7 linked regions of the Mus musculus genome follow. The protein of the gene in region 5 interacts with the protein of the main gene of each other region in a pairwise test. Links are inferred from orthologs where the notes say so. Each region holds a gene or a part of one and is shown on either strand. Other genes may lie near its edges.

Region 1 (3,984 bases), on a different chromosome or scaffold from region 5:
TCTGTAACTAGCAGTGCTTGAGGAGAGAAAGGCCTGACCTAGTCTCAAGACTGGAACACAGTCCAATTTGAACCAAAGCCAGAAAACTGAAAGCACCGAGTACGGAACATTATTACTGTAATAACCAATACTGATGAAGATAGTAAGGATTCAGCCATAGCTACTAGTTTTATACTTGGCAATTATTTCAAGCTCCTGCATTTTGTAAAAGTATAACTCAGAGTTTATCTTTAGCTAACCAGAACAAGTTTTAAATTTCCTCATTTAAAACACGTAAAACTAGCCTTCATCATGTCTAGTTGGAAACTTGCCTATCATAAAAATCAAAGAAACACGAGAACCTTTTATCAGACATATATCAACTAAAAACTATCACTTCATGAATTTAGGTTTCAGGACACGGATCACAAAGCCCAGAAGAATTAATCTCTTTCTCTCAAAAGGTAAATCTGGAATCAAGGCCCCAAGATAAGTGAAATACCCAAGAATTCTCTTTTTAAAAACATGTCTGCTTGCCCAACACAATGGTAATCTCACTGGCTAGGATTCTGACGCAGATCTTAAGTCCAGAAGTTTGAAACAAACCTGGGTATCATAGAAAGAGGCTGTCTCCAAAGAAAAACAAACAAATACCTGCTTTTGGAAACAAATGAGATATTCTGCAGGCACAGGCTTGCAATCCCAGCTACTAGGGAGGTTGAGAAGAAAACCCCAGTTCAAGGCTTACCTGGTAGGGAAGAGATTCAATACCAGCCTGGGAAACAGTGAGACTGTCTGCACAGAGAAGAGAGGGCTGGGCTTGTAACTCAGTGCTGCAAAGAACACTTGCCTAGCATCACAGGGAGGTCTGCGGTTCAATCCGGTACAAGGGGTTAAAAAGGAGAAAGAAACAGCAGAAACTAACTTCAAGGTACTTTTTCATTCCCTGACATTCCTCCCTAGTGTCAAGACAACTCACTAACCTAAGAACAACCCACAGTACCAAAGGATGGCAGTACTTGATACTAATCCATTTCCCCCATAGCCTGGCAGAGGGAAAGGTAATAATGTACTAGTGAAAACAAGAAGAAAACATTTTTAATTTTGGGCAACCTCTTTTACCAAAACCCAAAAGTTACATTTTCTATCTATCTAAGCAACAATATAAAATTCAGTTTCCCTGATGTAAATGTACAATAGTGTTCCTGGCTAATTAATCTCTAGAAAGACCTAAAAAGAGAGGCTACCAAATATGTTGGCTAACACGTGTAATCCCAGCACACAAGGCTGAGACAGGAAGAGTGTCACAACAGCCTGAGCTGGAATGAGGCCCTGTCTAGGAAAGGCAGAGGATGGGTATAAAAGTATACGAAAAAGGCTTCCTTCACACACACACACACACACCCCAACTGAAGAACTGGGGTAGAGACAAGCAAGAATGTTCTACAAATGCCACAGAGCTTCTGGCAAAGTTGACGTGCCCTAACCTGTTTTAAAAATTACTACTCACTGCCTTCATCCCAACCTAATTTTATTCATACTATTCTTTTGGATAGCTCTACCAAAAAAAAAAAAAAAAAAATCCCCAGAGCAAATTCTTGTGTATTTATTTCAATATCCTGCCTACTTTATAAGAGCGGAAGAGTCGAATACAGCAGGGGAAAAACGTGACGTGCACAACCTTCACCCAAAACACAGCTCAGCTCGTCGTTGTCTAATTTTGGGCCTAACCGGTTTGGTTGTCTTTTTTTAAAAGGTTAGAAACGAAAAGCTGGAAAATCTACAGGTCACTTGTAAAGAAGAACCTGGCGGCTATCGATGGGAGTTGGTGATTTGTCAAAGAGGAAACAAATCTCACTTCCACTCTACCTAGTTCTATTAAGACAGGGGATGGAGAGAGCCTCCTTCCCATCAAGCCACAATGGCAATTATTTAACACACTTCTGTCTTGGACGACTTGATCTAGAACTAATCAAAAGGCTGAGTCCATTAAGTTATTTGCAGCAACTTTTTTTTTTTCTTGTGAGGGCGCGCGTGTTTCAGACAGCCAAACATGGTGAAAAGCCAACCTCAGCCCAAGTTAACCTTAAGAAGCAAATATTCACCTCCTGGCTAAAGATCAAGCAAAAACCGTAAGATCCTTAACTTCTGTTCTTAAACGCAGGCTCCCAGAGCCCGGCAAAAACTTTTTCCTAATGTGGAGGAGGAGGAAGAGTTTACACACTGAACTTAAGGAGCTCGCGACAGGATTCCCGAGCGACGAGACTGCAGAGAACGCAGCTGGTAAAGGAGGGAACATCCAGGAACAAACCCGAGTCGTCCGGTGCAGCGCCGGCGGGAGAGAAGGGCAAGGACGGCCGGAGTGGCCAGGGTCCCCACAGCCCAGCAAGCTTCCTCTCGGCCGAAGCTTAGAGCCAGGGCGCAGACAATGAGCCACCGCCCGGAGCCGCGGGCCCGCCCGCAGGTGCTGGCGTCCCGGGCCGCTGGGCCCAGGCCGCGGAGGCGGGAGGAGGGCGGCGGCTCGGCCCGGCCCGGCCCGGCCCGGGCGAGCGGCAACCGCACTTACCAGAGAGGAAAGGTCTCCGCCCGACCCAGGGCGGGCTGCTTGGCCGACGCGGGCGAGCACTGCGCTGGGGCGCTGAGAGGGAGGAGGGCAGGGCGGAGGGGAGCGGCGCGGGGCGCGGCCGTCGCTACCGAGGCCGTGAGGCGCAGAACCCCTTGGGCCAGGGAGGGGAGGGCAGGAGCCTTCGGCAATGGCGACGGCCCGGGCCGGAGGGGAAGCGGAACAACCGCTGCCGCTGCGCGTGGCCACAACCCTGGGGGAGGGCGGCGGCGGGGGCGCGGGGCGGGGCCGTAAGACAGCCCCGCCCTGAAAGTGGCGTCATGACCCGAGGGGCGGGCTTTCACAGGGCGGCTGGGAACCGTAGTCTAGTCATCTGTTAGGGAGACTCAGGACAGTGGGCGTTACAGAGAAAACCTGTCCCTCATTTATCAGCATTCTGCATTGTCTGCAGTTACGGTTTACCTACTGACAAAGCTGACGGAGAACAGCTGATCCAAACATATTTGTGTGTAGAGGGTCTTTGTTTCTGAGAATGTATCCATTCACCAATTGGTGTTTTGTGGGGAGGGATGGCTTTTCGAGTCCTGGCTGTCCTGGAACTCACTCTGTAGTCCAGGCTGACTTTGAACTAGAGATCCTCCTGCTTCTGCCTCCTGAAGAGGTACTGCCCAGCTCACTTTGTTTTTTGGTTTGGTTTGGTTTGGTTTGGTTTTTTGGAGGCAGGGTTTCTCTGTATAGCCCTGGCTGTCCTGGAACTCACTTTGAAGACCAGGCTGGCCTCGATTAAAGGAATGCGACGCCACCGCTTTTTTTTTTCCTACAAATTTAACCAGATTAAGTTGAATCAGATTATGCTGCTAAATTAGGTCCTCCCTCTTTGCAAAACAAAGATTTTTTTATTTTTCTGTATTTTATCAATGGAGGAGTTAATTCATGTATTCTTATTCCACAACTATGTCAATATCTAATATCTACAAAAGACCATTTAGGTACCAGAAATGAACATGCTTCACCTAGTCTTTGTAAAGGTTAAAAACATGAAAACGGTGGTGGCGCACGCCTTTAATCCCAGAACTCGGGAGGCAGAGGCAGGCAGATTTCTGAGTTCGAGGCCAGACTGGTCTACAGAGTGAGTTCCAGGAAAGCCAGGGCTATACAGAGAAACCCTGTCTCAGAAAAAAAACAACCAAAAAAACGTATGAAAACATAAAAACCAAAACACTGATACCTGTTACAAGGTGGGGAAAAAGCTGAGGGATTACCGTGGACAGAGTGGACAGAGAAGGTGGCAGTTAAAACAGAAAAAGGAACTCGGAAGAACTGAGGGGAAAGGATTACAAGTAGGAAGAGGATTGCCACGGTCAGTGAGAGATGAAGGCTAGGCTCACAACCAAAACCACAAGACTTATGTAGCTGCACCTTGGTGTAAGATGGGTATATTA
Region 2 (4,171 bases), on a different chromosome or scaffold from region 5:
AAGATCACATAGATGGTTGTGAGCCACCATGTGGTTGCTGAGAATTGAACTCAACAGTCATAACCACTGAGCAATCTCTCTAGGACCACAAATTCTTGCTAAGTGCTGATTTCTTTCCCTTGCATTTCATCTTCCCACTTCCCCTTCATCCTTTCCTTCACTCATCTCCATGCAAACCACTTTTTTTCCCCCTAAAGTAAAACTAATTATTTCAAACTTTCCCTCATTGGAAGCAAATCTCAATGGGTTAACTCTTATATTCCCTTTAACTCTCTTGCCTTGGTAATTTTCAATTTTATTAAAGACATATACTAAGTTAAGTATAGTGCAAAACAATTTGTCCCTAGTAAAAAGTTGGATAAATATTTAAAACTGCTTTTTTTTAATCATTCTAAATTGAGTTTTTAGAATGTCAGACTAAATGATCTATTTTGTGGGGACAGAATGTTCTGTGGTGAGAAGTTTCAAGGCCAAATGGATTAGCCATTCAAAAGCCTGGCTTTCGGGCTCTCCACTGAAGCCAATATAAAAGCTCTCCTTGTTCTTAGCTGTCAGGCTTCCCCTCCCACATATTCTGGCATCACTGTGGGAGAGATGAAAGGAGTTCTCCATTTTACATCTCCTTCTCCCTGCTCCTAGCTCCTCGTTGTTTCATTTCAGCATTCTCAAATTTCATTCAGAATAGAAGTTCATTAGAGGAACTGTAGAGAGGTAGTGACTTGATTTGCTAGTCATACAAATGCCCCGCCCCTAGCAACATTACACTAGCATTCCATAATCCCCTTTAATCTACTTCTCCTCAAAATCAGACACCAAGATTATAAAGGGTTATAAAGATTATAAAGACACCAAGATTATAAAGGGTTATAAAGAATATAAAGACACCAAGATTATAAAGGGGAGTGGGTTGTGCAGTGCTGTAATAGGAAGCAAGACGGTTTAGCTGATGGTTCAGTCCTGCCAAGGAGCAAAATATAGGAACAGCAAAGGGGGGCTCATGAACTGTACATGATAAAATACAAACTTTGATTATAAACAACTTTTAGGTCGGGGAAGCAAAGATATAAATATAATAACGTTGAGCAGAGGATTACTGTTGCAGTCTTGGTCCCTAGACCCACCTCAGTTTGGCCATGGTCATACATCTTTACCCAAGGCATGCTCAGTGCTTTCTACTTCACAGTTATGACCATTTCAAACTCCATCTTGCCTGCTGAAACTGGATTTTAGCCAACTAAGGCATGTCAGGAGGGTTGATCTTACTGCTTCGGTCTTAGGAAAATTCTGCTTTGAGTTTGTGCCCATTATTTTCTCGTTTTTTTTTCTGGGCAATATTGTATTTCTTTCTCTCTCTCTTTTTGTTTGTTTGTTTGTTAGTTTTTTCCAGACAAGGTTTCTCTGTATACCCCTGGCTGTCCTCGAACTCAGAAATCCGCCTGCCTCTGCCTCCAGAGTGCTGGGATTAAAGGCATGCGCCACCACTGCCTGGCGCATATTGCATTTCTTATATTTCAAGTCCTTTACAAACATGAGGATGCACACTGCAGAAGGAATGTCAGAGACAGCAAATACTTCCAACTTCACAATTCTTAGAGGAAATCATTTGGCCTGGCAATAAGTTGCTCCCAATGAATTTTGTGGGATTAGGAACTTCTGTGCCTATACCTCAAAGTACTGTGTCACCTATCTTCAAAGTAATTCCCTCCCTTACTTTCCAGGTTATTTTCCACCACTGGAACCATTTTAAGCAATTAAGGAATCCTATTGCTCATGTGCTGTTCATCAGCAAATGCATCTATCCAGAGACCTCCCATTCGGTTTTATTAGAAGATTAAAATGAAAAAAAAATTCACTGCTGTTCATTGCTCTTTCTGCCTGCTCCTTGTTTTCTAGCAAGGTCAAAGAAATGCAGCACAAAGAATTCCAAAGAAGCCAATCTTGTTTTCTCATCGGGTCACCATCTTTATTCTTGGATCTCCTCATAGTCTCAATTTAAGCCACATGCGCATTAGTTTTAGTTCCCTTAACCAATAAGATACAAGCTTTGATTAAAAACAACTCTTGGTTTGCAGGAAACAAACACCAGTGTCTTTTAACTCACATTATGAAAAATACTCCTCCTGGAGTGTAATAGTAGTTTTGAATAAAACTACATTTTTTTTTAAATTACAAATTTCAAATAACAGAGAACTCACAGGTTGTAAATTTTATATCACAGATATTAAAAATAACTTCATCCCACCACAGACTGCATTCTAATAAATAGTTAATAGAAACTTACACTGAGCAACGTTTTTCTGAACTGCTGAGAATGAATGAGAAACAGTCTCAGGATGAGGATGTTGCTGTCAGTCCAAGCTTTAGAAATCCACCCTTAGCAGTTGAACAGCCCCTTCTCCAAGGCAGTTGAATCCCTTATGTACCCTGCCCACTGTTCGGAGGCCCAGCCACAAGCACAGCCAGGTCAGGAGATGCTGAAAACACACTTACTTAAATCTCATCTTTAATCTAAGATTCAGAAGCAGTATCCTGCTCTACCCAGTTTGCTCGTTCAAGTTTGCCAAGAAGAAACATACCTTCTTACACTTGGGGGTCGTCCTGCAGCAGGTCAGGCTCTGTGTGGCCAGTCTAGCAATGGCAGAGGTGGGGCAGAGAGCTAGTTGTCTTAAAGAACAGTCTCAGTGGTTCTTTTATAAAACAAAATCCATTCATCTTCCACAGTGGTCCTGACAAACGCCTTTGCAAATTGAACTTCAAAGAGCTACTCTGCTCAGTGTCACAACAGCAGCTGGGCTACTATGACGTCAGGGACTTGGAGGCGGCCTTAAGGCTGCTGCTTCCAACCACAGCTCTGTAACTTTAGAGCAGTTATATCCTCTGGGTAAACAACTCCAGGTCCAGGACATTTTTAACTTTTATAATGGAGCCTAGCATTTTCAAACTTGCCAGGAGAGATCTGCTTGCTAGCAGCACATGATGACAATTTAGATTTCTTTTATTTGGAAAGTAGACTCTTTTTTTAGGAGCAAGAACCATCCTCTTCCTCCATCCCCTCTCTTTCCCTCTCTCTCTACAGTGAGATGCAGTTTCAGTGTCTTTGTTAGTCTGGCCAGGGATGAAGTGGAAATGTGTGAGAAAAAAAAAAAGAAATACACACACACACACACACACACACACACACACACACACACACACACACACACCAGCAAGCATGAGTCAAAATGTATGTTGAAACATATTGAATGTTTGCCTTTATGCAAAATAGAAATGGGGCATATATATATATAGAGAGAGAGGGAGAGAGAGAGAGAGAGAGAGAGAGAGAGAGAGAGAGAGAGAGAGAGAGAATAGTGGTTTACTTTAGTCAATAAAGTCTTTAGGGCCAATATAGCAAATCAGTTACACTGAATTTTAAGTAATAAGCTCTTATCGTCAAGCTAAAGTTTTCCGACTGTACAATATAACAATGTGTCATTTGAAGCATGCCATAATTTCATGTTTTTGGTTTTTGTTGGTTTTTTTTTTTTTTTTTTTTTTTGCCTACCTCCAAGCTCCATCCCATAAGGAGCTAAATTGCTTAATAATGGTAAACTGGTCAGGGCAACCATATATTTATCTAATTTAGTCAACTGACTAATTAATTAGCATATAACATTGCTTAGCAAAACAGGCTAGCCTAAAACTCAATATTGCCTCTCAAACTGGTCTCAATTTAGTACAATCCTGCTTCAGTCTTCCATGTCCTGGAATTAGGGTCTTGAGCCACCAACTCCAGCTTCTTTACTTCCATAGAAGGACGTTATACAGGCAGAATAACCGAAAGAAATGCTTCCCTATGTTTAGAGAGCTAGGATTCATATTTCCAGGGGCAGCCACAATCGTCATAGTTACAATAGCAACACTAGTTATTCACTGGGAGCAGCTTTAAGCAAAGCTCTGTGCTAAGGATGTCAAGTGGAGCTTCGTGTCAGTTTACCACCTTAGCAACTGTCTGCAGTTTTATTCACCGGATCTTACTTATATCCATGGCTTAGAGAGCTAAAACATCTTGACAAAGCCCACAGAAAGACCTCTGAGAGGAGGAGCAGGACTTGGAACCAGTTTGGGGACCCTGGAATATTGTTATAGGGACCGAGGGCTCAATACTTCTGCCCCCATTTAACTGTGTAAT
Region 3 (4,181 bases), on a different chromosome or scaffold from region 5:
CATGCTTTGACCAGGATAATTGCTCATAGCCTCAATCCAGGTAAGGTGAGACACAAAAATTCATAGCCTTGGTATAAAGTAGGAACACGAATTTACAGTATCTGATGTGGAGTAATAGGAGCAAATGCATTTGAATATTGCGTGCCAGAAATGGTTCTGAACACTTTGTGCAAGAGCCTCTATCTATTCAATAGTCTCTGGCATGCAGTAAGTATCCAAACATATTAGGGCCAGCCATGCTCTGAGCACTTTGCATGCATTATCTCACTTGAGCCTCACAAGAATTGAATCAGCCAGGCACTGCTGATATCGTGAATGGCAAACTGTAAGGCTAAATGTAAGGGGGAGAGCTGTCATCAAGAAAGGCTTGTCAGGACTTGGAGACAGAATGAGTCTGGAGGAGGGTACCTAGTGATAGCATCAGTGTCCCATGGGCCCCTGAGCTGGCTGATAGCCAGCTTGTACAGCTCCTTAGTTTCCAGAGAGTGTGAGGACACGTGCTGAGCAGATACCACCAGTAGGCAGAGGAGGACAGAGCATTCTAAGGCACCTCATCTGGCCACCCAGTTCAGTACAGTGGAGAGTAAGCTTCGGGCCGGGAGTCCTTGCCTGAGTGGATCTCAAGCACAATTCCCAAATGGCTGAGTCGTGTTTCCTGAGAGTGTAGGGTGTAACTCCTGGCTGTAAGGTTTTCCAACTCAAGGGTTTTCTGCGGTTGTGAAAGCCTAAGATAAACAATGTTTGGGTCCAGCATGCCAGGCTCCTAAATCGATTGGACAGGGTGTATAAAGTCACACCGTGTTTCTTGTTTATAAGACTTCTCTCTAACCTCCACAGTCTGAGGTCCTGTGTCATCCCTCCGCACCTCTCAGCCCTGTTTTCTCCCCACATCCCTAACGTTCCTCACCCGTGGAAAAGGCTGGTCCACCTTTCCACTCGGCTCAGCTTTCCTCCCTCCCACGTATGCTTAGGCTTCATTGGTGCTCTGTGCCATCCGGGCCCTGATCTGTTAGTCACAGGGGACTTCCACCTTTTTCCCCCTTTCATGTTTCTCTCCCTGGCTGCCCCTGTCCCTAGTGCCTTCAGCCTGCAGCATTCCAGTCTTTCTCTTCCTTGATCATGCTCGGTAAAGCCACACCTGGAGTCACAAATGCTTCAGAGTTTGATAATTTACTTAATGTCAACAAAAGAGAAGGAAAAAGTAAGCTGTAGAATGCAGGGGCAGAACTACAGCCAACTTGGCCTGCAGGACCCAGGTTCCCAAATGGGCCTTGCCTGCCTCCGCAGGCTCCACCTACAAGTCAAATGTGGAAGGGGCCGGACTATTGTAATTAATAAGTCCCACAGACCCCCACTGAGGTGGTAAGGCAAACTACCCCAGACTGTAGACAGCGCTCTAGATTAACCAAGGACTAGTGGCCTTGCTGTCACTGGACCAAGGCAGCCAAGCTTGCCTACTGGCCCTGGAGCGCCTCCAGCACCCGGGTGGGGCCTTGAGGGAGCGCCCAGTCAGTCACCCCAGCATGTGGGCGCGGCGGGGCGGGCCAGGGCTGCGATCTGGACGCTGAGTGTCCTTCTGGTCCCGAGTGTTTGTCCAGACAGCCCGCGCGGCTGGGTCTCTGGGAGGCTGGGTCTCTGCTTGTCCTCCCTTCTCTTCCCGGACAGTTGCTGTAGGCAATCTGGAGGTGGCAGGTGCTTGGGTCACCTTGCTCCGGGTACTGAGCAGGTAGGTGACCGGGTCGGGTAAAACGCTGGAGCATGGAGCCAGGCAGAAGGGTGAGCGAGGAGTGGGAACCAGCAGGTGAGTCTCTAGAGCGAAGGGTAAAGCACAGAGGACAGGGACAGGAGGAGACCCTGGTTCCCGCGGTCAGGCTGTTCACCTGTCCCTCTGGTCCCTCCTCCACCGCGCGCAGGGCGAGCTCGGGTGCCCAGAGGAACCGACCGCCACAGCTGTGGGTGTCCGATGTCTCGTGTAGGGTGTCCAGTATCGGCAGCCGGGGCCGGGCGAGTGGCGGCCCTAAGAATAGAGGGCTTGTGATCATTATACTAAGAGTCTCCAGTGGGAGGAGAATCGGAGGCAACTTGGAGTCTTTCAGGGAAGTCATGGTGCCCGGGCGGTGTGCATGCACGCGTGGTGAGTGCTTACACTGGCCGGGGCAGGTGCAGCTGCGGAAGCAACCTGCGAGGGTCGGGGCCACGAAGCAGGTGCTGGGTGCCTGCAACAGTACCCACAAATCAGCGGAGGTCCAATCACTGGGCAGTGCCATGTGGTCTCTCCTGGCCCGGAGGTGACCTTCCAGACAGAGTCCTGAAACCTGTTTCAGCCCACGCAGAACTCTATTAGAGAGCTCCCCGCGCGGGGACACCCTCCCGCGGGCGCCCTCACGTGGTACAGAGAGCAGCGGGCTCGTCCCCTCCCTATGGTTCTGGGTCAAGGCTCAATCTAAAATCAGCCTAGCAAGAACTTTCCTCAACAAAAGTAAACCATCCGCAGCCACTCCTGCCCTGGGGGGTTCATGGGCCCTAGGTGGAGTCACTCACTGTTTGCAGATTTTCTCAATAGTGTTTCTCTTCACTATGGCCCTAGAGAAGCAGGGATAACCAGCTACATCTTGCTCAGTTCCCTGACAAGCTTCTCTTGTTTGTGGAACGAAACAATGTATTTATAATTTTTAATTTAATAAATAAGTGGAAGAAATACTTAGGTGAAGATTGGGCACAAATGGACTTGTCTAGTTATATCTGTGAAATACTTCAATCTCGAGAGCATTTACAGAACTTCCAGCTGCTCTCACCACTTGCAATTTATTTTATTTTCAAAATCATCAAGTAAATTAATGAGAAAAAAAAAATCGAACAATCCGAAGCCTGTCCACAGAGCTAGCTGTTTAAAGAATAGATAGAACTTAATCTAAATTCTTAACTTTAGGGATATATGTACTATACATACCACGATAATTCTATGAAGATAGCTGTATTAGGCTCTATACTAATTAAAAACACAATTATGTAGAAAAATGGAAAGTGTGAAAGTCAGACCAGATCTACAGGTATCCTGGGAACCTAACTGAATTTTGTACTCTTTCAAATTTTTAGAGTGAGCAACAGGTATGGACTTGTTGCTTGTTATTTGTCTTTTTCAAAAAAAAAAATGCCACAGGAGAAGAAAAACAAGTTAGTTGAGCTGCACTTTGTGTTGAACCTCGAGTGATTACACTCAGTATGAGACAAAACCATCACCGTGCAGATCAACGTTAGCAGTGATTGTCCTGTAGAGTGAAAGAAGGAAAAACCCAGGCGGATTCACTTCCTCCTTTTTATTTCCTGTACTTGTCTCAGGAACTTCAACGTAGATTTTATCTCAGTATCCAAGAGCTACAAAGATCCCCAGATTAATTTTATGGATTAGGAAATATGGTCCAAAGACTTGAGGTGACCTCCCAAAGTCACAGCTCACTGGAGGCAGAGCTGGGAATCTAGGCTGGTGTCCTTTGAAGTATCCTGTAAGCCAATTGCTGCTATACTCAGAGGGAATCAGCAGTCCAATTTGGTGCCCATAGTCAAAAGCCATCACTTGTTAATTGGGTTTCTTTTGTATTCTCTGAGGCCACCAGGAGCCACTGTAGTTTCTTCAAGTGTAATTAAACTGTCCCTGGTGGTCAGGGTCTATAATAACAATTTTGTGAGAGAAAAAGGGCAGTCAGTATGGAAAGCTGAAAGCCTGCTTAGGCTAGGATGTGTTAAAAACTAGCCTGGACAATTGAGACTCCATCTCAAAATATAGAGTAAAAGGGGGACTGGAGGTATAGCTCAATAACAGTGAATTTGCCTAGCATGTGCAAGGGCCAGGCTTTAATCACCAGACCATAAAATAAAACATTCCAGATAACATTGATGCTTGAAGCCCATGTTACACAAGCTACCCAAAGCAAAGCCAAAGGAAAGAAAAGAGCTTGCACACCTCTTTACTGAGGTACTAGGAAAGGGACTATTAAGGAGACAAAGCACCTGGCAAGTGGAGAATAAATGGAAGACAAACTCCCTACTGGACCAATGTGGGTGTCAACCTTGTCTCCTTTCTGGATGGGGTATTTTCTTCTGTGTCTTCTCTAAGCTTATCTGTACTTGATAAGGGTAGGGCTTCTGCACTGCTGGGGTATCTCCACTTGTGCAGTTTTCTT
Region 4 (3,500 bases), on a different chromosome or scaffold from region 5:
CCCTTAGAGGCTCATGACCATGTTAATAATGTATATTATATATTCCAACTGACTTTAACGATCCCCATTGTCTTTAACAATTTCATCTTTTTTGTTTTTCCAAGACAGAGTTTCTCTGTGTATCCCTGGCTGTCCTGAAGCTCACTCTGTAGACCAGACTGGCCTTGAACTCAGAGACATCCACTGCCTCTGTGAGTGCTGGGCTTAAAGGCGGGTGCCACTGCCCAGCCAATTTCATCTTCTTTTTAATTAAAAAAATTGTGTTTATTTATTTGTGTATATGTATATACATTTGTGTGCCTAGTGCTCATGAACCATCAGAGGACAGCTTACTGGAGTTGGGTCTTTCCTCTATCTACCATATGGGCTCTGGAGATTGAATTCAGGCTGCCGGGCTTGAATTCAGTGTCTTTACCCACTGAGCCACCTTGCCGACCCATCACCAGTTTTTTAAAAAAGTCCAAGGTCTATTTTTTTTTTTTTTTTTTTTTTGGTTTATCGAGACAGGGTTTCTCTGTGTAGCTCTGGCTGTCCTGGAACTCACTTTATAGACCAGGCTAGCCTCGAACTCAGAAATTAACCTGCCTCTGCCTCCCAAGTGCTGGGATTAAAGGCGTGTACCACCACTGCCAGGCCAAGTCCAAGGTCTTAACTGTGAGTTCCTATAGAATCAAACACTTCCGGCTTTCCAGGGTTCCGGGGGTTTGAGAGCCTGGATTCTCTGTTAAAATGAATCTAGGTCTTCACACACAAGATGGACCTCTAAGGGCAGAGCTTTCCTTCGGGACGCCTTCCTGTTGTGTTAGTGAAGATAGGCACTCTCCCTTCAGTGGTGCTGGTCTCTAACAATTACAACTGCTTTCTCAGGATTAGCCTGAGCACTCTCTGGTTTTGAAATTTCCTTTGCCAAACAAATTAGTCCATTAGCTTTCCTCTGTCTCAGGTTCTCAAGCTGTAAACAGAATGAAGGCACATTCTTGGCTAAAATCGTACATTAGTGGCCTCTAGCGCAATTCCTGATAGAATCCTTGTTCCCCCTGGACCCTCATGAGGGAACACGTCAGCAACCATGACATGGCTTTGGAGACAATCTACAGCCTTCACTTCCTTTTTTCCTCAGGCCTTCAATCAAAAAATTTTAAAGCTGTTTGAAATTAAACCCCAGTAATTGTAGAATTTTATTTTCTAACCATTTGTGTTTGTAGTATTTCTTTGGATATGACAGTGGCTAAGAAAATAATTCCTAGCTGGGTGTGGTGTCACACACTTCTAGTCCTTGCACTCAGGAGGCAAAAGCAGGTGGGTCTCTGAGTTCAAGGCCAGCCTAGAGCCTGGTCTACAGAACAGGTTCCAGGGCAGCCAGGACTACACAGAAAAATCCTATCTTGAAAAACCAAATGTGAGTGTACTATCACTGTCTTCAGACACTCCAGAAGAGGGTATTAGATCTCATTACAGATGGTTGTGAGCCACCTTGTGGTTGCTGAAAATTGAACTCAGGACCTCTGGAAGAGCAGTCAGCGCTCTTAACCTCTGAGCCATCTCTCCAGTCCACTTCTCAATCTTTAGTTTGCTTCTCTTAATCTTCATAGTCCCATTGCTATGGAAACCAGAACATTGTTAGTTCATTTGAATGTTTTAGTCCCTGATGTCCTTGTCCTTGGTGGCTGGGTTCTGTGGCATTGACTGTGGGGGTTGGGCTTCCCCAGCACAGGAGCTCTGACCCATGTAGGAGTGTTTGCTTGGAGCCTGGCAGGTACACAGGACAGGCACCTGAGCACTGTTGCATGAGGCCCAGCTTGTGCAGCTGCAGTAGCTGTCTTTCAGAAGCATTGGTGTTGTTCCTGTAACCCAGCCTAAGCTCCAGTAGGAGAGGGAGAATAGCGAGGGAAGAAAAGTACCAAGCTGGCCTGGCCTGGCCTGGCCTGAGTAGACAGTTGCAGGAGTGGCAGCCTGGATACCAGCTCCACCTGCCCCCTTCCTGCTCACTAGTTGGAATGCTGTGGGGCCTTTGAGCTGAAATATTCTGTACCAAAACCTCCACAGAAAGGACTGGCCTCTCAACATGTGACCCTTTCTGGCCATAAAGGCTATTCAAACCACTGTACCTCTGAATATCCTGAGCTCTGATCTTTAAGATACTGCTAAATAGTGCTGCACAAGTATCCCCGTTCCCAACAGGGAGGCTCTGGGTTGTCCTTCCCTGAGAACCTCACGCTTGGACTTGGTCCCTTGGCTCCAAGCAGGCTCTATCGTGGTCTTGTTCATTGGGCTATTTTCCACAATTAAGAGTGATTCTGGGCCCAGCAGTGGTGGCGCACGCCTTTAATCCCAGCACTTGGGAGGCAGAGGCAGGTGGATTTCTGAGTCCGAGGCCAGTCTGGTCTACAAAGTGAGTTCCAGGACAGCCAGGACTACACAGAGAAACCCTGTTTTGAAAAAAAAAAAAAAAAGAAGAAGAAGAAGAAGGAGAAGAAGAAGAAGAAGAAGAAGGAGAGTGATTCTGGAACCCAAGTATTGGGACTTACATCTATGGTCCCAGTACTCAGGAGGCTAAGACAGGAGGATTGCTTTAGGTTGAGGCTAGCCTGTCAATAAACCAAAATGTTGCTGGGGAGGTAATCAGAGGACAGGAAATTCCCTTGAATGGTAATGGTGCTCTCACAGATGGCTCTCAACAGCCCTTTGTAAGGGGCTTTAACACAGAGTATATACATGAACTCTAAAATAGCCCTGTGACATCTTCCCCACAGCACTTCTTCTGGGAGCTGTAGTTAGCTTCGTTATTCTGAGTATCTTCCTTTGGTTTTATTCTTGAAGGACTGCCACCAACTCCAGTACAGCTGCTCTATCCAGTGTCCAGATTCAGCAATGTCAAGTCCCTCCAGCATCTTTGCAGATTCCGGATCCGGCAGCTTGTCCGAATAGACCATATTCCGGATCTGCCACTGCCTAAGTACAATGGGGTTGTCAGGGTTTGGGGTGGGGAGGGAGTGAACTAGAAGTGGAAGTGCCTTTGACGCTTGCAAGCTGCTCCTGGAGGCCAAGCCTGACGTAAAGCGTTTGTAGGCAGTGTTCTTTCGATTCTTAGCACTTAACTCTAGAGCTGTGACATTGCAGCAAAGGGAGCAAGATGTGTGTGTCATACAATATGAAGAAATGGAGAAGGGAGGAGGGCTCAGCAAGAGATGTATTCTTAAAGGAAACAGCAGTCATAGTTTCTGAGAAATGTCCCTGTAAATGGTACCCTCTCTGTCTCCTTGTTTTTCCACAGACCTCTGATCTCTTACATTCGAAAGTTCTACTACTATGATCCTCAGGAAGAGGTGTACCTGTCCCTAAAGGAAGCGCAGCTCATTTCCAAACAGAAACAAGAGGTGGAGCCTTCCACGTAGCAGCAAGGACCCCTGCTGTTGAACATGAAGGTAGGAACACCCTGTCTCTTTCTTTGCCAAGCCTAGGCACTAGGTTACTTCCTGGCCCACAAATTTGTCTGATAA
Region 5 (4,072 bases):
TGTGGGGAGGGGAGGCTGAGGTGCAGCCCACCAGCTGGATTCAATTAAAGCTCTTACCAAAAAGCTAACCATACAAACACACACCCGTTCCCGCCACCCGTTCCCGCAGCCCTCACCGCTGCTGCCTGCCGACTCTCGGACTTCCTCCAGGGGAAAGTGAAGCCAGGCAGACTGATGACCCAGGAAGCCTGGGCACACCGGCTGTGTGCTACCCCTCCCTGCCCGGCTGAGGGCTTGAGGCCAAACTGCCTTCGGCATCAGCAGTTGCACCCATCAGCTGACAGGCCTTCCTTCCCTAATGTCACTGTGTCCCACCCTCCCAGCAAATCCAGAAGTGTCCTCTCTAGGGAAAAAGGACCAGTTCTCCATCACCACCTTGTTTCAGGAGCTACTGACCCTAGGATACCTCCATCGGCTCCCCTCCCACTGAGCTCCTGGGAATACTCGAGGTTAGGATAGGGCCCCCCATGGTGGTCCTGGTTTTTCTCCCAGCAGGCTGCCTGGAGACATTTGGCAGAACCTAAGGAAGACAGAGGTCTCCTGGGGAATTGGTATCTGTCTAGCATAAAACGGACACCTCTGGTGAGTTCCCAGAATCCAGGCAGCCCCTGCATTCCAGCAGACCCCTAGAAGAATGAAGAACGTCCAGGTTTGGTGGACTCCTTCCCATCTGAGTGAGGCCTTGATGGTGGGGACGTCGTTCTCTGCCTTTCCAGGTCTTATCAAACTATAGCTCCCCACTAACAGGGTCAGGGGGTTTCAAATTCACCTTTTCTGGTTTGTACAACCTCAGAGACCAGGACACGGAGGGAGGGACTCTACGCCTTCGCTCCGGTCCACGCCAGGCTATGTCTTGCCTCCTTCCCGCCCCTTTGCATCGCTGAACCTACCTTCCCCCGGCGAGCAGGTGGGGGGGCTTGGGGCTGCCCAGGAGGGCAGGAGCATCCCAGCCCGCTTCTGCCTGGAGCAGCCGCGGCGAGCCCTCGGGGAAAGAGGGCAGGGAAAAGTGCGGGTGGTCACGGCCCTCGTGACTGGTCAGGACGCTGGGCCAGGCTCGGCGCCCAACAAGGAAGAGAGCGGCCGAGGGGGCGCGCTAGGAGGCAGGACCCTGAGATGAATGCGGCAGGAGGAGTTTGGGACTTGGATTTGAACTGTGAGCCGGGGCTATGCTGGAGTAAAGTGGAGATGCCTGCTACTCCCTCACTCACTCCCGCGAGTGCCCTCTGTCCGGCGACGCGCCACGGGAACACTGTGGCCCCTTGCCCAAGGGGCCGGGCTGTCCAGGAGGCGGTGCCGGGAGGGGCCACCGAGGGTCCCCCGGGAGCCCGCTGGGTTTCCCAGATGCCTTCCCCGGCCCCCACCGCAAAGCTGGAGTCAGAAAGGGGCGGGAGGGCTGGCGGGGGCCACTCAGAGTTTCCAGCGACATTTCCAGGGTGTGGGAAGCGAGCTGCTCCACAAGAGCCAGGACACAGGGCAGGAGTGATTAACCGAATGGTCCCTGAGTGCCAGAGCCCGGGTGGGGCCGGAATTAGATACGCAGCCCTCGGCCTTGGAGAGGCAGGAGACAGGCCCGGAGGCAGACAGGCTGGGACCGAGATAAGTCACGGTGGCCCAGGAACAAGGCAACACCCGCTTGGGGAGAGAGAGTTCATGCTTGTTAGACCTAAGCGCACTGACCAGGCGTTTGCAAACACTCGTGTACTGGCAAACGTGAGGATGCTCACACACACGTGCAAAGTTTGGGGGAGGGAATCGACCGGCTCCCTGGACGTGCCACAGCATTGAAGAGGATAAGGGTGGGGCCCTTTGGGCGGGGATGAGGTTAAGAGGGTCTTGGTGTTCCCATTCACCGTATTTGTTTTGATCCTGCTTTTCCGCTGTTCCTACAGTGCTGACTGCTGACGCAGATCTGAAGGACACCGCCCACTGGCTCCCCATTCTCTCTGGCCCTCCCTCCTCCCCTCCTCGTCCAGTCTTCTGCTGGTAGGTGCCAGGGCAAATGTTTACTGACAATGGAAACCCTGGAGTACTCCTAGCCTAGGATTCACTGCGAACCCAAGTCCCCAACAAATCAACCGGTAAAAAAAACGGTTTCTGGTCCACTGCTGAGTATGGTAAATGACACCTACTGCCTTTTAATTGGTGCCTGAGCCACCTGGAGTTAGTGTTTCCCAGGACATCACAGCCCCTAGCACGCTCACCTCTTATTAGCTTCACATTTTCCCAGTTGTGGGGGAAGAACTGTTTGTGGTGCCCGCAAACAAAACCCACCCCCACCTCCCGGGAAACTTAGGTCAAGGACAGCTCAAGAGATGAGCGTGCCAGAGCTCCCATGAGTGGGGAGTCTTCAGGAAGCAGTTTCATAGGCTTCCAGAGATGTAAACCTGCTAACAGGGCTCTGATTCGCATACGTGAGGTGTTTTTAACGGATGTAGGTATTACACAGTACACGGTGTTTGTGGGAGGGGCGGAGGTAGGAAAGCTGAAGGGAGAGAGATGGAGGAGTGGAGGAGCTCTGAGACCCTCTTTGAGGTCAGGCAGCTGTACACAGCCTCTCTGCCACTTGATTATCCACCCATTCCAGGGAAGCAGCCTCCCCCTCCCCCAGGGGATTAAAAGTACTACCCATGTCCCTCTTTAAAGTTTTCCCACCTGTTAGGGTCCTTGGGACTAAGAAGGGCTACATCACTTTCATTGTCTTCTTTGTTGTTCAAAGACGAAGCTGAAGATCTTCCCACTCCAAGAATCCTGGCCATCCCCCTTCACCAGCAGTGAACTTCTTAGGCTCTAAGGCTCTGACCTGGACTCCAAGATAAATATTTAATGTAGAGGGTGCCGCTGAGCTGCCGAAGGTCCCAACTTCCTGTTTCTCACAAGAGAAGGCACAGTGTGGGCAAGGGAGCTGAGGACTGGCTACCAGTCCCATCTCTATGGGGATGGGGAGTCTAGTAAACAGTCTTGGAGGATGTAGGTTGGGAGGAACGGGGAGGGTGGCAATGGAGGGCTGAACTGCTGCAGCTCTGCTTTGTCAGTCAGGCCGGGGCTGGCTCGCCACCTCTCAGGTTGGAGCTCACTGTGTTCACAAGTATTCGGATGGCTTTACAAAACACGGAGGCACGAGGCGCTAGGACCGCAGGGCAGGTAAGTCCAAGGAAACTTAAATAATCTCCTGCCCTCTTTTCTGCCCAGATTTAGGGAGAATTCTTCCTCTTTTAAGAAGATTAGGGAGAAAAATGTAGCAAGAATTCAGAGACTGGACTTAGAGAGCCAGGTGTCTGGTTTCCTGACCCCTCCCCCTAGCTGTAGCTGGCTGCTGCCTGCCTGCCTCACCCTGAGTAGCTTCCAGTGGCACATTAGAGCCAGGTAACATTGTCCCAGATAGTGCAGCCCTGGTCAGTATGCCATGCTCTGTCTCCTGCACACCCTTCTGCTCAAGAGGGACCTCCTTCCCTAGTAGTCGGCTGCCTGCACCCCTCCAGCATGGCCTTGGGTCAAGGACTGCCATGGTTGCCACAGCCACCTGAGCCCATGTAAACACAGTTACGTAACTGCTCTGTTTTTTCTAGCTATCTGATCCCAGTCACCAGGAGCCCCACCCAGCCCCAGGCAGCCAATTCTGTCCTATGCACATTCCCCCACCCCTCAGCCCCATAGTCCTCTTGTCCTCCGCCACCAACTCAAAGTACCATTAGTCAAGTGACTACCAATTAGTCTCAATCACAATTAGTGTCCAGGACAGTCTAGCATTTGGATGAGACACTGACATCTCTGCTGCAGGCCTGACCTTCCTGTTCGGTAGAAAGGCACCGGCTAGTTCCTTCCCTAGGACAAACTTCAGTACATTCTTGAGGTAGGCTTTCATGTCCTTTTTGGTTTGTGCTCTTAGAAGAGTGTTCTCTTTCTACAGATCAGAAGGGAGTAGCCAAGAACACACGGACTCTTCTAGAGTCCGTAACCAACCCAGCAGTGAGGAGCTGAAGCCAAGTCACCATAGATATACTAGCACAGATCTCGACTCTGTTTCATCCCTGGGGCCATCTCCTGATTCCAGGTCTGGCAGTACTGCCAACTA
Region 6 (4,172 bases), on a different chromosome or scaffold from region 5:
TATAGAGACCACACAGACCTTTCGGAAGCCATGTGCTTCGAAGCGAGATGGCTGGATTCTGGAGGTGTTCTGCTCCTACCCTCTGCAGCCCCAGCCTGTCTCGCAGGGCTAGGGGAGGGCAGAAGAGGGGAAGGCAGGAGCACCTAGGAAGTCTCAGCAGGTACAGATCCTTTCTCCTGACAGGAGTGCAATTACTAGAGAGTGCTTTTTCCGTCTTCTGTTCAAGCGTCAGAGCCCAGTGAGGTCAGCTCCAGGTAGGGGTGCATTACTTCTTTACACTTGGTCTGAGTAGAACGAACCTTCCTACCCTGGCCTCTCTGCCCCTCGAATGGCCCAGAGGTACCAGCATCTGATTCCAGGACTCGTCTCTTAAGCGCCCCCCCACCCCCCGGCAAAAAAAATTCCAGAAGGAATGTTGGATGCAGTCATGCGAATCAAGTGCAGTAATATTCCCAGGAACAATGGGATGACAGCTGTTCCCAAGTGCCTCCCGCACCAGTCACAGCGCTGACACACAAGCTCCTTGTCATCTAAACGGATCCTCACAACTACCTTTAAGGAAGCACACAATTACCTGGAAAGAGAGGGGGACAGAGAGTGCACGCACACCTCACTATTATACAGATAAACTGAGGCTCCATTTTGACCCTCTTCTTCACGTGGTCCCCTGAGGGTTTTTAATTCTTACGGCACTGGGGGAGGGCTTGAAAGGCAATCACAGACCCTCATGAAGAGCTCTCCACGTGTAAGAATACCTGCCCCGTTTCCTGGCCCTAGCCTTCCTACTGGCTCTGCAAATGGGCTGGTATTGCCGTCGGCCCTCGTTTCACAGATGGAAAAACACCCAGAGCCAAAGGGTGTGTGTGTGTGTGTGTGTGTGTGTGTGTGTGTGTGTGTGTGTGAAGGCATGAAGGCAGGAAGGCAGGAAGCAACAGAGAACTCAAGCATCCATAGCCTTTGTCCCTGGTTTTTCCATGCAGAAATGCATCTGATGAACTCTCCCATTCCAGGGGCTCATTATCATCTGAGGACAGCCCCAGAGTTCACTGGGCCCCCTGCCAAGGTGGCAATAAACTCTCGCTTTAGTGTTTGTGTCTGGTCAGTTTCCAGGAGGCCCAGGAGACGGTCCTACTTTACAGAAACTGGAAATACACAGTTGAGACCACCATCCCACTTCCGGTCACAAAAAGGTGTTCAAGGCCAGGTAAGTCTCTCACAACTCCCATATTGGGACTGTTCACAGGCCACTAGAAATGACAACCCAACCCAAAATGCCTCCCTTCCTGTGGGAGAAGGGCTCTCATCCAATGCAAAAGGCAGCATTCTTGACCTCACAAGGGGAGTTGCAGCCACTTGACCAGAAGTCAGCAAGCAAAGAGCTAGGAGTCAGTAGGCACCTCTGGCCCTGACTGCAATCCTGAAGCATCAGGGACCTTAAATTGTTTCTCCTGGACAGCAGCTTTCCTGACAAGAAGGAAGGATGACCAGGCCCTCCCACTTTGACGAGCCCACGTCAAATCCCTTCTGAGCCCATGGTGAGGGAGCTATATTCTGGAAGAGTTTAGCTCTGCCTGGAAGAAGGCAAAGGGAGGGGATCTCCCCAGGCTGGAAAGCAGGACCCTAACCCTGGACTAGGGAATTCTCAGCAGGAAGCCTGCCTAGCAACAATGCCTCCAAACAAAGATGCGGTAGACACCTCCAGGGGCAGTATAATACTCCTTTCTATCTCTGAGAGGGGCAGTATAATACCCCTTCCCATCTCTGCGTGACAGTTCCACACCCCTACATGATGGTGGTCTGTGGTCAGACAAAACAAAGGGCATCTGGGCTAATTCTCAAAGGCCTTTCCCCTTTCCCCTTCCCCCAGAATTCTTATAGGGCAGGAAGAATCAGAGTACAAGGAGGACCCTTTGAATGGCCACCCAGCTCCGGACTGCTATTGCACCTGTGACCTTGGGCACTCCCAGCCTCCTTTTGAGGTAGCCCCTTATCCAAAGACTAGTCAGCTGTACCAAAGACAGGATTCGGGAAGGGAGGGGAAGAGAAGGAAAAAGGAACATTAGTCTCCTTTATTTTTCCCAGGAGCACCATTGTGGGGATGGGGAAAAAAAGAAGGGCTTCTCGCTTCCTCCTCCACCCCTTGAAACACACAGGTGCCAGACAGCTTTTGCGCAAAAACTAGTTTGCAAACACACTCCGACTTCTGGAACGCCGCCCGGCACTATTCCCCATCTCTTCTCCCCAGTTGGAGCAGGGAGTCGGCCCTAGAGCTGATCCCGAGTAGCGCCAGGTCCTGGTCAGGGTGGGATCAAAGGGCGCGCTCGCCTCCAAACAATTGTGCTGGCGGCTGCGATCGCTAGCCCACAGCCGCCCTCTAGACATCTAACGGTGGAAGAGGGTCTCCTAAATAGCTAGCCAGTGTCCCCGAAGCCGCCCATCCTCCAGCCGCCCCCCGCAGACGGGCGCCCCCGCGTGGCCGGGTGGGAGCTGAGCCCCCCCCCCCCAGGCGTGCTGCGGGGGGCGGCGGCCAGGGACATCGGAGTCCCTTCGGCTGAACCCACTCCCCCTCCAAGCCCCAGGCCGAACTTGAGCGCACACAGTGCCCGGCCCGCCCTCGCCGCGGACCCCACTCACCGCGCTTTCCGCAGCCTCAGCGTGCTCCGGGCCGCCGGGGCATCCCCGGGCGCTGTGCTGTCGGCCGGGCGGCGGCGCGGGACAGGCTCAGGGCGCTACCCGCGCGGCCGTACCCACTCGTGCGCTCGCCCGGGCTGGGGCTGGCCCTCCTCGGGCCCCGGCTGCGGCGCGGGCTCCTCCCTCCAGTCGAGGGAGGATGTGGGCGGGAAGCGGGCGCGAGGCGGGCGCTTCCTGGAGGGGCGGCTCTCCGGGCTAAGCCGGAGCCTGTCCCGCTCCCGGCTGGTGGCCCGCGAGGACCTGGATGCAGCAGGCTGCCACTCCGAGCGATGCCGCGAATTCGCACCCAGCGCCGGGCCCGCCGCTCTGGGCGTCAGGCACCGCCGAGCTCCCCGCGTTGCGCTCCAGTTCAAGATGCGGGGACCCGGGGGTGCGATCTCCTGGTCCGCTAGACCCCCGGGGCGCCGCCCGCGGCTCTCACCCTAAAGCGCGCAGGGCTCAGCACGGAATCCTCGGGGAGACGCCCAGGACTTGCCTCCGAGCTGCGCACAAGAACCGCAGTGTTTTCTTTTTTCCTTTTTTATTTTATTATTATATATTTTTTAATTTCTTTCAATAGCGTTTTCTTGCCGCCTGAGACTGGGAAGATGACACATATTCCCGTGACAAAGACGATGAGATAAAGACGTTCGGAGTGGGGTTTGGGATCAACGGGAGAGTTGAGGCCTCCCCTCTGTGCAGCCAGCTTTTGAACCAGAGGCACCAGTTCTTAAGGGACTGTTTTGTCGCTGGGCAGCTGGTGGTCGCTCAGTGGTATTTTGTACCCTCGGAGCAAGTAAACCACTGGACATTACCACACGGAAGCTCTTTTAACCAGATTCTGTTGTGGGAGGTGTAGGGGGAGACATGGCTGTCCAGAGGTCTTAATAAGCATGGCCAAAGCCCTGGGCCCTGGTGTACAAGTCTCGGGATTGTGGGGCTGAGCGGTAAAGCCTTGCACTGAGGTTGTAGGTTTTCTATTCCAGACAGATAAGAGTTAATGCGGGAGACTCACGCTGCAGCTCTGAGCTCCCTCCACCTCTGAGTCACAGGCACTTTGCAGCCTTAGAAGGGCCCCCACTAAGCAGCCCTAGGGCACAGAGCTTTGTTCTCTCTGCCTGCCTGTCCCCGGAGCTTTCTGCTTTTCTCCAGATTCTCCTCGTCTTCTTGCGCAGAAAGTCCTCCATGCCCTCTGCTCAGCTCTGGGACAAAGCAACCTGTGGCGCCACTTAGAGCAGAGGTAGAAAATGGGGACCGCAACGTCTTCTTCCAGACTGTGAAGCAATGGCAGGTAGAAAAGTAGATGGATGAGAAGTTCAGGATGAAAGGCAATTAGCACAGAGACCCAACTCAGCTGTGGGACTTGACCAGCACTTTTCTAAGAACCCAGAAGAATATGGCGATTGGGGGGGGGTGGGTACGGAGGGGAGGGGAGGGAAAAGATGTCACTAGGTCTTGGTCAGGAGGGCAGAGTACTAAGGTCAGGGGTCACAGCAATTCCA
Region 7 (4,134 bases), on a different chromosome or scaffold from region 5:
CAGGCCTGGGTCTTGTCAGGCTTGTGGCTAGGAGAACAGAGATGCTGTTTCAGTGACATTAGCTCAGATGACTTTCTACATTCTTCTTTTTTAAAGTTTTATTATACATAAGTACGCACCAGAAGAGAGCGTCAGATCTCATTACAGTGGTTGTGAACCACCATGTGGTTGCTGGGATTTGAACTCGGGATCTTCTGAAGAGCTGTCAGTGCTCTTACCCACTGAGCCATCTCGCCAGCCCGATTTTCTACATTCTTGTGTTTTCCTAGATAATCCATTTCCTAAGGACAAGGGCACATCCAGTGATGCTCAAACAGGTATGACTGGGTACCAAGACTCAGGGGGGCTGGCAGCCTGGGCACCTAGCCGCGAGAGGATGGATGAGAAGCCAGGTCCTATAGCCTCACCCTTGTCCTGCAGAATCCTGTGCTGCCCCCCACCATAACAGACCAGATTCGGCTGTGGGAGCTGGAAAGGGACAGACTCCGGTTCACTGAAGGTGAGTGGCTTCCGCTGACCTAATCTCAATCATTGGCTAAAGAGGTAAGGCCAGCAATTTCACGCAAAAGTTTTGTGCATTTCGTATTTGTTTCTCAAAAGGGAAGGAGAGGAAGACTGATCTTTTATTTTGGTATATTAGTAGCAGGAAATATGTCCCAAATCAGTGCAGTTTGAATTAAGCTAGGTGAGGGGATAAGAGGCAGGGTAATTCAGTCTTCTCTTTAGGTGGGTTTGCGTGGCTTTTCTTGTGGATTCTGCTGTCTTTTCGAGTGTCTGGATGCCACAGGTGTTAAAGTTGAACAGTCGACTATCCGTAGAGAATTAGTCCTAAGAACTGTGGCCTGCAGCCCCTGCCTGCATGCTGCTTGGAGGGGCAGAGACCACTGCAGCCCCTCACCTCCTGCCTGTCCCACCCGACCCCAGGCGTCCTGTATAACCAGTTCCTGTCGCAAGTGGACTTTGAACTGCTGCTGGCCCACGCGCGGGAGCTGGGCGTGCTTGTGTTCGAGAACTCGGCCAAGCGGCTGATGGTGGTGACGCCGGCAGGGCACAGCGACGTCAAGCGCTTCTGGAAGCGGCAGAAGCACAGCTCCTGAGCCGGCCAGGTCCAGCCCCGGGCGGGCAGCTTTCCAACTCAGATGTATTTTGTTTACACACCGGGATATTTCTTGTTTAATAAAATTATGGAAAAAAATCTACGCGGCTTCAGACGTCTGCCGGCGTTTCCCTACCCAACGCAGTGATACCCGCTTCTAGCCAGAAAGCCGGAGGAGCGAGAGTCTTTTACGCATGCGCCTGCGTGTCCCCGCCCACGCATGCGCGCGCACCTCGCCATGCACCTATCGGCTCTGAGTTCGCCGGGACGTTCGAGTTAGAGGCGCATGGCCGAGGTTGCGGGGGTGGGGGTGGTCCCAGGCTTCCGAACCCCAACCTTCGTGTCCGCGTCAGTGCCCGGTGACGGGCAGAGCTCCCGCCTTCTCTGGACGCCCTGGTTTCAGTGATTCCAGAGTGCTGTCCACACCGTGCGCTCCGCCCCTAGGCGGAAGGACGTAGAGTGAGAGAGGGTCCTGCGGATGGGAGTGAAGGGTTGCGACCTCCTGCATCCCATGGCCTCGTAGTGAGCAGACCTCCATCCCTTCCCAAACACTCCCGATGCCTCATTTGCCTCTGGCCTCTTTCCGGCCACCGCTCTGGGGGCTGAGGCCCTCATGGGGTCTTTCCAGGCCCCAGGCACTTTGTACACAGCCGGAGCCCCACGGCTCCCCTGTCTCTCGGAGGAACCGTGAAGCCAAACAGAAGCGCCTGCGCGAGAAACAGGCGGCCCTGGAGGCTGGGCTAGCTGAGAAGAGCAAGGTCAGGGGTCAGTCCTTGGGTCTCCCAAGACTTGGGAAGGGGCTGAAAGAGACTGGCGCAGGGATCCAGATGACTGTGGTGTATTGGGGATTGCAGCCTCCACCCCCACTCCGCAACACACACACACACCCTGTTTCCTCCCTGCAGATACCTGCAGTGCCCACTAAGGCCTGGAGTCACAAGGAGGTAGTATTGTATGAAATCCCCACCGGGCCAGGTGAAAAGAAAGGTAAAGTGTAGGGTGTGTTTTGCGATGTTGTTGCTCTTTGGTCTGCTAACATGCAGTTCAGTAGTGGATCTCTGTTCTGCTTCCACAGATGTTTCTGGGCCCCTGCCTCCTGCTTACAGTCCCCAGTATGTTGAAGCGGCCTGGTACCAGTGGTGGGTGCGAGAGGGCTTCTTCAAACCAGAGTATCAGGTCAGTGCGCGGCAGAGGGCTTCTATGAGGTCCTTAAGACAGAGTGAGTGGCCCTTGAACTTGGTGGGCACAGGCTAACTTCACAGTTGATGTTTATTTCTTTCGGCCCCTGGTTTTCTTTTTGCCTCCCCCGTGTTGGATTTCAATAATAATAATAATAATAATAATAATAATAATAAATTTGAGACACTGTTTCTCCACGTAGTCCTGGCCGTCCTGGAACTCTGTAGACGAGGCTGGCCTCAAACTCAGAGATCTGCCTTCCTCTGCCTTTTCACACGTGTGCCACTACACCTGGCCTTCTTGAAGTTCTTTTTGCCCCAAGGCACCAGAGGGTGCTGTTCCCCTAGGCAACAGCAACAACTAGTTCTCCCTCGCCTCTGACTTCCTCATTCCTTCCAGGCAAGGCTGCCCCAAGCTACAGGGGAGACCTTTTCCATGTGTATCCCACCTCCCAATGTCACCGGCTCCCTGCACATTGGCCATGCACTCACAGTGGCGATCCAGGACGCACTTGTGCGCTGGTGAGAGGCGGTGGGGCCACTGCAGTTCCCGAAGGGAAGGCTGGAAGTGAGGATCAGTGAGCTCAGAGTCCCCATGGTGTTTCTGTGGCAGGCACCGGATGCGTGGGGATCGCGTGCTGTGGATCCCCGGGTCTGATCACGCAGGAATTGCTACACAGGTGGGTCTTGTGCCCCCCTCTGCTTGGTTGAAAGTGCCGTCTTTATGTGAAGCCTGACTAGCTTTCATTTACACCTGATCCCATTTCAGGCCATGGTGGAGAAGCAGCTATGGAAGGAGCAGAGGGTGCGGAGACATGAGCTGAGCCGGGAAGACTTCCTCAGGGCCGTGTGGCAGTGGAAACATGAGTACGAGGGCAGGGCCAGTGGGATTGTCAGCACTACTTCTGACTTGTAGCATTTGGTTTTTCTGGCCTTGTGCTTCACTGTCTCGGAGCAGAGGGAATGATGTCTGAGCCAAGAGTGTGTGTGTGTGCGTGTGTGTCACAATGTGCACATTTGTCTGTATACTGTGCTCATGTTAGAATGCACACACGTGTGTACTATGCTTGTGTTGGGATGCACACTTGTGTGTCCTATGCTCATGTTAGGATGCACACATTTATGTGTATATGGATGGATATATACAAATGTGTGGTTTATTTAACCTCCTTGTCTTATTTTCCTTTGGACTTCATCACCTCTCCCATGCCCCTGGGCCTTCCTATGTCTGTGGTGGTCATGTGCTTCTCTCTCTCTTTCTCTCTCATTTTCTCTCTCTCTTTCTCTCTCTCTCACACACACACACATTTTTCACAAAGTGGCTGCTCCCGATAGGTGTGTACAGGCCTTGGCCCATGGGCCTCTTGCATCCCAGTGTAGCTGTGAATTGTAAACTTAAAACCTTTTGAGGACTTTTTGCTTTACTACATAATTCTCAAATGTAAACTTTGTACATGGCAATGACCTGTTACGGTGTTATGCAAAACGAATGCATGTATGTATGTGCATGTATGTGCCTCCAACCAGTGGGCTACAGCTTAGACACTACTGGTTGTAGCCTAAAATAGCCATCCATCCTGTGTGTCTCAGAGAAGCCAAAGGTTTAGATAACCCTGCAGAGACCTTTCTGTATCTTTTAAAGCCATAGGACGCCCCACCCCAGGTGTGTGGTTCTATCTCCATCAGCGGGGTCAGCTCTATGCGCACTTTATTTCCTCCGGTACCTGGCATTGGCGAGCACCTATGGTTAGTGCTGGGAGGTGCTCTGGTCATATTTACTGATAGAAATCTCTGGTGCAGGAAAGGAGGGGAGATCTATGAACAGCTGTGTGCTCTGGGTGCCTCTCTGGACTGGGATCG

The links.
Region 1: the proteins of Sorbs3 (region 5) and Pak2 interact in binary tests that used the Homo sapiens proteins (3 or more experiments, as listed by UniProt). The two-hybrid records come from large-scale screens. The link is inferred for Mus musculus from reciprocal best matches to the Homo sapiens genes SORBS3 and PAK2.
Region 2: the proteins of Sorbs3 (region 5) and 9330159F19Rik interact in binary tests that used the Homo sapiens proteins (3 or more experiments, as listed by UniProt). The two-hybrid records come from large-scale screens. The link is inferred for Mus musculus from reciprocal best matches to the Homo sapiens genes SORBS3 and KIAA0408.
Region 3: the proteins of Sorbs3 (region 5) and Sh2d4a interact in binary tests that used the Homo sapiens proteins (3 or more experiments, as listed by UniProt). The two-hybrid records come from large-scale screens. The link is inferred for Mus musculus from reciprocal best matches to the Homo sapiens genes SORBS3 and SH2D4A.
Region 4: the proteins of Sorbs3 (region 5) and Socs7 interact in binary tests that used the Homo sapiens proteins (3 or more experiments, as listed by UniProt). The link is inferred for Mus musculus from reciprocal best matches to the Homo sapiens genes SORBS3 and SOCS7.
Region 6: the proteins of Sorbs3 (region 5) and Cpne2 interact in binary tests that used the Homo sapiens proteins (3 or more experiments, as listed by UniProt). The two-hybrid records come from large-scale screens. The link is inferred for Mus musculus from reciprocal best matches to the Homo sapiens genes SORBS3 and CPNE2.
Region 7: the proteins of Sorbs3 (region 5) and Vars2 interact in binary tests that used the Homo sapiens proteins (3 or more experiments, as listed by UniProt). The two-hybrid records come from large-scale screens. The link is inferred for Mus musculus from reciprocal best matches to the Homo sapiens genes SORBS3 and VARS2.

The regions. Positions count from the first base shown.
Region 1 is NC_000082.6:32,076,543-32,080,526, forward strand, and holds the start of Pak2 (serine/threonine-protein kinase PAK 2), read right to left. Parts: upstream 2,801-3,984; 5' UTR 2,546-2,800; intron 2,510-2,545; exon of another isoform or gene 2,291-2,509; intron 1-2,290. UniProt on the Homo sapiens protein: Serine/threonine protein kinase that plays a role in a variety of different signaling pathways including cytoskeleton regulation, cell motility, cell cycle progression, apoptosis or proliferation.
Region 2 is NC_000076.6:29,210,272-29,214,442, reverse strand, and holds the start of 9330159F19Rik (uncharacterized protein KIAA0408 homolog), read right to left. Parts: upstream 2,801-4,171; 5' UTR 2,577-2,800; intron 1-2,576.
Region 3 is NC_000074.6:68,275,147-68,279,327, forward strand, and holds the start of Sh2d4a (SH2 domain-containing protein 4A), read left to right. Parts: upstream 1-1,381; 5' UTR 1,382-1,726; intron 1,727-1,739; exon of another isoform or gene 1,740-1,801; intron 1,802-4,181. UniProt on the Homo sapiens protein: Inhibits estrogen-induced cell proliferation by competing with PLCG for binding to ESR1, blocking the effect of estrogen on PLCG and repressing estrogen-induced proliferation. May play a role in T-cell development and function.
Region 4 is NC_000077.6:97,386,292-97,389,791, forward strand, and holds part of Socs7 (suppressor of cytokine signaling 7), read left to right. Parts: intron 1-2,820; coding exon 2,821-2,956; intron 2,957-3,274; coding exon 3,275-3,395; 3' UTR 3,396-3,425; intron 3,426-3,500. UniProt on the Homo sapiens protein: Substrate-recognition component of a cullin-5-RING E3 ubiquitin-protein ligase complex (ECS complex, also named CRL5 complex), which mediates the ubiquitination and subsequent proteasomal degradation of target proteins, such as DAB1 and IRS1.
Region 5 is NC_000080.6:70,204,872-70,208,943, forward strand, and holds the start of Sorbs3 (vinexin), read right to left. Parts: upstream 2,801-4,072; 5' UTR 2,757-2,800; coding exon 2,653-2,756; intron 1,984-2,652; exon of another isoform or gene 493-1,983; intron 450-492; exon of another isoform or gene 240-449; intron 185-239; exon of another isoform or gene 117-184; intron 1-116. UniProt on the Homo sapiens protein: Vinexin alpha isoform promotes up-regulation of actin stress fiber formation. Vinexin beta isoform plays a role in cell spreading and enhances the activation of JNK/SAPK in response to EGF stimulation by using its third SH3 domain.
Region 6 is NC_000074.6:94,531,656-94,535,827, reverse strand, and holds the start of Cpne2 (copine-2), read right to left. Parts: upstream 2,801-4,172; 5' UTR 2,635-2,800; intron 1-2,634.
Region 7 is NC_000083.6:35,664,793-35,668,926, reverse strand, and holds the start of Vars2 (valine--tRNA ligase, mitochondrial precursor), read left to right. Parts: upstream 1-1,334; 5' UTR 1,335-1,653; coding exon 1,654-1,854; exon of another isoform or gene 1,855-1,861; intron 1,862-2,001; coding exon 2,002-2,083; intron 2,084-2,171; coding exon 2,172-2,272; intron 2,273-2,674; coding exon 2,675-2,796; intron 2,797-2,887; coding exon 2,888-2,954; intron 2,955-3,043; coding exon 3,044-3,141; intron 3,142-4,074; coding exon 4,075-4,134. Other genes in the region: Gtf2h4 (general transcription factor IIH subunit 4), read left to right, coding at 270-317, 421-499, 925-1,097. UniProt on the Homo sapiens protein: Catalyzes the attachment of valine to tRNA(Val) in a two-step reaction: valine is first activated by ATP to form Val-AMP and then transferred to the acceptor end of tRNA(Val).